Linked DNA regions of Xenopus tropicalis. The protein of the gene in region 1 binds, or shares a complex with, the protein of each later gene. Links are inferred from orthologs where the notes say so. Each region holds a gene or a part of one and is shown on either strand. Other genes may lie near its edges.

Region 1 (3,500 bases):
CACCCTATTTTTTCAAGCTATTAAACATTCTGATCTGTTTAGATTTTTCCTAGTTGAACTAAAAAAAAAACATAGTAGACTTGAGTGTCATGTTCTTGTTTCTCTTCCCTTGTAAATGTATTTTTCTCAGCGGACTGTCATAGCACACTATCAGTTTTGTGTGGTTTGGAAAATGTAATTCCAAACCTAGGGAATCCAGATGTCAGACATCTAAATTGTGTGTATCGTGATGAGTGAGAAAGCACGATCAAAATTATATACCAGTGGCAAACTGCTGATACCTGACTATAAAATGGATAATGCTTATATGTTACCTTTTTCATTGGTATAATGATTAAGATGACAGAAAAGTGCCTTTAAACCAACGTATCTGTAAAGTTTAAACAAATATGTTTTTTCTTGACTGTAACTAACAACCTTATTAGGAAATCCAGTGCAATTCATTGGCTTTATCTGTTGTAGGTTGAAGAAGCAGAGGCAAGACGCCTTTTTCAACAGATCATTTCTGCTGTAGATTACTGTCACAGACATATGGTGGTTCACCGCGATCTGAAACCAGAGAATGTGCTGCTTGATGCACACATGAATGCCAAGATAGCTGATTTTGGTATGTGACTTCCCAAACATTCTAAGAATGTAGCCAGCAAACAGGTCATTTGTTGAAGGTTGTCAGTATACAATCATTAGCTGTGCAGGGATGTAGAACTCTGCAATTTCAGTTAAAATTCTTTTGTTATTAGTTGGAAAAACTGCCCATTGTTGAAAGAGAATTTATTTTATAAATTTGTTTTGTAGTCTAACCTTATAGAGAGCAATACATTTGCTGTAGGAACACAGCAAAGAAATTAAACATACCCTTGTTATAAAGATAGCCATTCCTGAAGCAGCACAGTTATCTATTATTGGCCAGCATAACTAGTTGTGCATATTTTGCAATAATCTCATTACATGACCTTGCAAAGGAATTGTTATGGCTAGTGCCCAATGGGTCTCTGTGTGTGTAAATAAAACAAGGCAAATTGTAGGGAAAACTGCCAAATAATACCTATGACAAATATATATTTGCAAGTTTTTGAAAATGTTAAAGTACATTTCATTGCAAGTATGCAAACTTTGTTATTTTTTAAAGCTGATAAAATGTGCATTTACAGGTAGTTTGTAATACAGGTATAGGACCTGTTATCCAGAATGCTTGGGACCTGGGGTTTTCCTGATAAGGATTATTTCTGTCATTTGAACCTCTGTGCCTTAAAGGAAACATATAGGATAAATGACCACCCCCCCCTAATCTTGGAGGCAGTTATGAATAATATGCATTATGATGCTAGTTTTACTTTGGGCTAAAAACTAATACCATCTGTAAAAATGACCTCTTTACTGGAGCTTCTTATAGATCCTCCCTGGTCCCAGTCTGTGTTTCAAACAAGGGGTGGTTGTGTACTGCCAGAGCATCAGTATGTGGGGGATAATCATAACCTTGCAGTCACACAAGCAAAGACAGACTTCAGTTTCCTATTTAGTCAGGTTAGCTGCTGATTGGTTCCTATCCTAGAGTGCTGAGTGCAACCAGCTCCCCTGCTCAGCTTGGGAAAGGAGGCAGCAGGAAGTGGCCACAGATGGGTGGGACTAGTAGGGTTTGAGGGGAATATCTCAGTAAATCAGTCCGAAACATTTTTTAAGTGCATTCCTTCCATATTTGGAGAAGTATAATGCATTGTCAAGCATTAATTATATCTGAGTTGGGATCAAGTACAGGGTACTGTATTATTACAGAGAAATAGGAAATCAATTTTAAAAATGTCAATTGTTTATTGAGTCTATGGGGGATAGCCTTCCCATAAAGTCAGAGCTTTCGGAATAACAGATGCCATACTTGTATTTCATTTGATATTCTGATTCTTTCCAGTTGTTTCACACGCTCACTCATGCTGCAACCAACAAAATGCATATATGTTGTATAATGTAAGGTAAGTGATCACACCTCTATAACTTATCTTGGAAATTGTTTCTCATAGGATTATCCAACATGATGTCAGATGGGGAATTCCTGCGGACCAGTTGTGGTTCACCTAATTATGCAGCACCGGAAGTCATATCGGGAAGGTAAAGTATTTTACTATACACAAAATCCGTGAATAACTTATGCAATACAGCCTGTTGAAGTTGCTTAGTCACGTCATTATATGGCGCTAAGGGGTGCAGCATTAATTTAGCATTGATAGGTAGAATTTGCTATTAAAGGAATTCTAACTGCAGTTTATAAATGCCAGCAGCACATGCCATCATAAAATAAACATGTAAGGTACATAATGTACATCATTTTTATTTGTATTTTTTTGCTTGTTTTTTTTTCATTAATTATTAGCTACAATTTTGTGCCATGATGGTGGTCCTTTTGGTAGAAGCTTGCCTTTCTTGTGGATATCAATGTAAATGTGGCAGTGGGCAGAACTTGTGTTTTGACTGCCATTACTGGATGGCGTCTGCTTCAGCACCTACATTGGTATCTTCTGGTGCCAGTCCAAACACCAGAGCCACCTGCTACCCTAGCTCCAGAGGGGATAAAGGGCATCTACTAATAGCATCCTTCCAAGTTACTTTCAGTCGGATAAAATGAGGAAAAACACTATTTTCTTGCACTATTATACACTGCTTGTTTTATAAAAAAGGTTTCAGAGTTGCTTTAAGGGCAACTAAGGCTGCAGGCAACCAGTGATTTATTTATAAAGGGCTGCCCTGTTTCTCATATACAGCAGCCCTCAGTTAAAAAAAAACAAAACTTTTATTTGAGCAGCAAAAGGTTCTGCACTGTAAGGTTTGTGAGCTTGTGAAAAACCCCCGCAGGTGATGCTGTGATGGCATATTCTGTGACTTGGGTGACTTTTTGTCCAAGCATAATATCCAAGTCTATAGTGATCTTAAGATCTACATTTAGTTATGTGTATATTTTTATATATTTGAGTATATTAATAGGTCTCTCTATATGTATATGCACTGTGAGTTATTTGGAGGGGTTGAACTTTTGTCTTTTTAACCCAAATTAACTATGTAGCATAAGTTATGCCTTTAAACCACATTCCTTTCAGTTTAGCAAACCTCCTGCCTGAATATTGGAACAAGTGACTTCAGTTTTCCTCGTACACACATACACTATGCTAGGTATTAGTATGATATCAGGTGGGAGAGCAGGGATAGACAAGTGGGCATGCTCAAATGCTTATCAGTACATTCAGACTATCTGTTGAAAAGATGGGTGCCTTTGAGAGACAATTTTCAAGGTTTATGAGGGATTTTGTTACGCTTCAAGTTGTGAGACTGTATTGGGAGAATGAGTTATTCTTATTTGGCCCTTCATAATGCATTTAAATGTAATACCATGCTTTTAACCTATTTCCAATTGTAGTGTATTATATTGTCTGTTCTACCTTTCTGTGTAGATTGTATGCAGGTCCTGAGGTTGATATCTGGAGCTGTGGAGTGATACTCTATGCTCTTCTCTG
Region 2 (4,197 bases), on another chromosome or scaffold:
ATATCTGGCTTAAAATCGGGCAGGTTAAAACATTGAGGCAGGTTCAAACAAGTTGAGGCAAGGATCGCATAATCCTTACAGACATAGATAGTTGTGCAGAGCTGCAGGAGTTTGCCTGGGGTGCAGTGGCAGACAGTCACATGGAGCCGAGCTAAAGATTATATAAATATCTAGAAAACAGCTGGGAATTAAATGAAATATCAGATATGCTCAGAGAAGCACTAAGGAACCATGTGTCTCTATAAGACTCTAATATCCTCAATTAACAGGAGTACTGAAATACCACTTGACTGACAAATATGAGTAAAGGTTGTTTCTATTCCTGCAGTACATGCTCACTGTGATCTATGGGAACAAACCTAAATACTTTTGGTCTATAATAAAGTCTTCAGCAGAATAAACCAACTGATACAGCCATGCCCATATTTATGTATTTACTTAACATTTCTCCCAATGATCACTATTCAAGTCCGTAATACCCACTAAATATGGTTTTGACATTTATTGCATGAATTAAGGCACTATCAACTTTCTACACTGTACCCAGGGCAAATGATTTATACAGTACATCTACTTAATAAAAGGCCATGAACTTGTGCCTCTGCTTCGGCTGATGAATATCCATGAGAAGGCCCTATAGGCAGCTGCACAAGGCATGTATACTGAACCTCATGGAAAATCTCTGACATCATGCTGATCCTTGCTAAAAATCAATGGGCACACATGGGTTAAGAATTTCTGGTTAAAGTTAATATAAATATGTAACCAAGAAAAGTAGTTCTGTAAAATACCAGTTCCAGCTCAGTCTTTATCAGCATCTTGTCCCCTATCAGATAGCTGCTCTCCGTTATTTACTTTCTCTACACCACATAGTCCCAAGCTGCAGGCAATCACCATTCATTTTTATTTTATCTTTTACTTACATAGCACTGACACATTTACACAAAGCTTTACATAGCTTGCTAATTGCTCACGTCAGTTCCTGCTCCACTGGAGCTTACAATCTAACTTTCCTACCACTTTTACACCCAGCAGGTTCAATGTCACCAGGAGCACATTAACCTGACTGTATAAAGAAACTGGAGCACCCGCCCATGTCGGAATCAAACTCAGGAACTCTGAGAGGCCAGGCTGCATAGCTAACCACTGAGCTACCAAAGAAGAAGCCTTACCCCATTCTAATGTTACCCATCAACCTCTCTTCATTTTACTAAGCAACTAAGAAACAGAATAGCAATGTCTGGTTAAAGAATTCAATGAAAGCCTATAGTGTGGGGACATGATGGTTAAATAAAGGTGCTACACAGAATCCCCAATTTACTTGATGAAGTGTTGGGTGCAGACAGTAAAACTTCTCTGCCAAGGATGGACAAATACTGGATTGTTTATTATTGGTTTATGTAGTTTGGTTACACCTCCACCCGCTCTTAATTCATGCAGTGGACTTAGTACTTAGTGTGTTGTTACACACCCATATACTATTCATTCTCTACAGAAAATGTTTTTTAGTAGTACCAGCAGCAGCAAGACTACAGTGCGTGGAGACACAGAGGAAAAAAGGGAAAGTTGTGTTCACCACTAAATTTTAAAACATTTATTGGGCGTGCAATGAGGCTGTAAACACAAGATTCATACAGGAGGTATCTTTACCTGGAATATACAGTCAAACAATTCCTGTTTTTTCTTTAAGAAGAGGACATTATTTAATAGTTTAATGCACATAATGTCCTAATGTCCATCATATATATTTATATTTGAATACTGGGTGAGCGCAGAGGACCTCTTGTCTCAGGAGAAAGACAGGTCACTGGAAATGTATACTCATGTATTCATGTAACGCCTAAATGCACCATGCATCTACAGCCAGGTCAGCGGTGCCACTGGGTGCAGCCAGCAGAGGAGCTATTTCTCAGCCTGTGCATATACACATTTTACATACATGACTTGTTGCTTTTACTACACCTGTTCACATGATGCTTGCTCAACTTTTCTGCTCCTGGCTATTAACCCTTTCTGAGGGCCTGGGGCATATGCAACTCAACCCAGTTCCCAGAGCATTACTTGTTAATGATCTGCCTTATAACTCTCTAAGACATAATGGGGCTCATTTAAAGTCAATGGGGAGATTTGCACATGGGCAGTAACCCATAGCAACTAATCAGCAATTTTATTTTTCAAGTCTGAAAGTAGAATTCTTACTGGTTGCCACGGTGCAAATTGGCCCTGTGTTTATACAAATTTGCCCCAATCAGAGAAGAGAATATCACTACTGTGATGTACCCTTTTCACCACTGCTGGGCGGTACTGTGCAACTCTTTTTGAATTTCCTTTTGCCATTTATGTGGACAAGAAGAGAGACAAGATACTGGGTGACAGAACCAATAGCAACAGGCTGGTGTAGGAAGCAATTACACTTTAGTATTAAAAGATTGTATCATGGTCACTTTATGAGTGAAAACTTGTTGATCTGACATAGGTCGGACTAAGCCTAAACTTGTCCTGTACTAATCCAGGACGATGTTTCGCAGGGACATGGCTGCAGGACGAGCCGCTTCTCTACCTTACTCTCCTCCGCAGGGAACATATCCGCATCCTCAGGACTGTCCATCAGTATTTTGGCTCTGTCATCCCCTTTCGACACTGCTCCGGTGCTATCTCTTCGCACCTTGTGGGGACCGGGACGTTCACTGCTTGTGTTCCCCATATTCCACACTTTACGAGCAGGTATCGCTCTTTAAACCTCCAGAAAGGACTTTGTTTATCACGCCGCTTCCGCTTCCTGCTGCGGATGTGACGATATTGCGTTCAAAGACTCGTTGTCGCACATGACGTTCGATCTGTTTTTTTCCATTACTCCTTTTCCAGCTATCTGTCAGTGATATCAGTGACAATAAAGGGATAGGTGCCAATTAATATCTGCGTATAGTTGGAATTGGAATTCCTCTACTGGGGTCGTTGTTTGCAGATGTAGGAAAAGTATACAATATTAAAAAGGGTTATAAGAATATTGACACTGCTATGAGATTGAGAGGTTGGGTAGTAAAAAGCTGCACTATATCTAATTAATTGCATATAGCAATCAACCAGCAAGTAGCCTGTTTAAAAACAAAAATCTTATTGGTTGCTATGGGTTACTGCATAATGTCAAATGATTATTATTATTATTAATAATAATTAAACTAAAACTACAGTTTAAACAGTTGTAGGAGAAAAGTAAGAAAGACTTCATGACACCAACAGTGCCACTGCCAAATGTATCTGTACTTCCATAGCAGCTCCTGGGGTGCAAAGCTGTGTAGCAGGGCTAGTGCCTGCACATTTGCACATTTTTGGTTTTCTAACTTATAACTAACAGTAACATGCACACTGGGCCAGTAGTAGACCATGCACATGCTCCTGGATCTGATACTTGTACAGGTGATTAGATGATCAGATACATTTGGGGCTGTGGGGGAGGTGGAGTTAGTGTAGCACTGTATCAAAGGCTTAAAAGTTGCCTGGGGGGGAAGTAGTTCCCTTTTAAAACGAGGAGTCTGGAGTCTGGGTCTCTTTTTGGCATTTTACTGCCAATAGATTTGCCACATTAGCATACCTCCCAACATCTTGAGACCAGAAAGAGGGACACTGCTCACAGTGCGGCAAATCTTTTTGAACACACCCATTTTTGCAACCACACCCCCTAAATACCACTCCCATTTTATTACATTTGGCATGCCCATTTTACTATTCAAAGTTAACACATTTCTGGGGGTTTTGGGGTCTATTTTTATGTATTATTACAGTTTTGCTGAAAAAGGTGAAGTTGCCCTTTAAGCAGCAAGTCTCAGTTCCCCCAAGAGACCTGTTTAGCTTATTAGTTTCAATGGTATCTCAGTGCAGGGTGGGGGGGCTTTTTACTTTTCTGGGCTCTTTGTCAAAAGTCATTTTTTAATTAAATTTGTATCATTTTTAGCTTCGGTGCAGTAGATCAAAGGGAAACGAGGGACTTTTCAGTAAGAATCCAGGACTGCGGGTTGAGCTGTCAAAAGAGGGACTGTCCCGCAAAAAACTTGGTACAGATAACTAACTTCTAATGCAATTTGTACCTGGTCTTCATATTTTATTTGCTTTTTGTTTATTTTTTTTATTAATTTTTAGTTTTGTAACCTTAGGGCATGGAATTTATCTAGGTACTAAGGCTTAATTACACTGGCATAA

Evidence for each region. The genes of interacting proteins can lie anywhere in the genome.
Region 2: the proteins of prkaa2 (region 1) and prkab1 are in contact, whole or in part, in a crystal structure (PDB 8BIK), measured with the Homo sapiens proteins. The link is inferred for Xenopus tropicalis from reciprocal best matches to the Homo sapiens genes PRKAA2 and PRKAB1. Residues at the interface, in NP_006243.2 of Homo sapiens: Gly9, Val11, Lys12, Ile13, Thr21, Lys29, Lys31, Asn48, Arg49, Arg53, Asp56, Val58, Ile61, Lys62, Ile65, Gln66, Lys69, Val82, Ile83, Ser84, Thr85, Pro86, Thr87, Asp88, Phe89, Phe90, Met134, Met164, Ser165, Asp166; in NP_006244.2 of Homo sapiens: Pro79, Thr80, Val81, Arg83, Thr106, Ser108, Asn111, Val113, Ile115, Gln154, Val155, Asp159, Phe160, Glu161, Val162, Phe163, Ala165, Leu166, Asp169, Ser170, Lys172, Cys173, Pro186, Tyr187, His188, Gln189, Glu190, Pro191, Tyr192, Ala202.

Annotation. Positions count from the first base shown.
Region 1 is NC_030680.2:87,573,778-87,577,277, reverse strand, and holds part of prkaa2 (5'-AMP-activated protein kinase catalytic subunit alpha-2), read left to right. Parts: intron 1-462; coding exon 463-607; intron 608-2,015; coding exon 2,016-2,103; intron 2,104-3,437; coding exon 3,438-3,500. UniProt on the Homo sapiens protein: Catalytic subunit of AMP-activated protein kinase (AMPK), an energy sensor protein kinase that plays a key role in regulating cellular energy metabolism.
Region 2 is NC_030677.2:151,375,224-151,379,420, reverse strand, and holds the start of prkab1 (5'-AMP-activated protein kinase subunit beta-1), read right to left. Parts: upstream 2,801-4,197; 5' UTR 2,705-2,800; coding exon 2,561-2,704; intron 1-2,560. UniProt on the Homo sapiens protein: Non-catalytic subunit of AMP-activated protein kinase (AMPK), an energy sensor protein kinase that plays a key role in regulating cellular energy metabolism.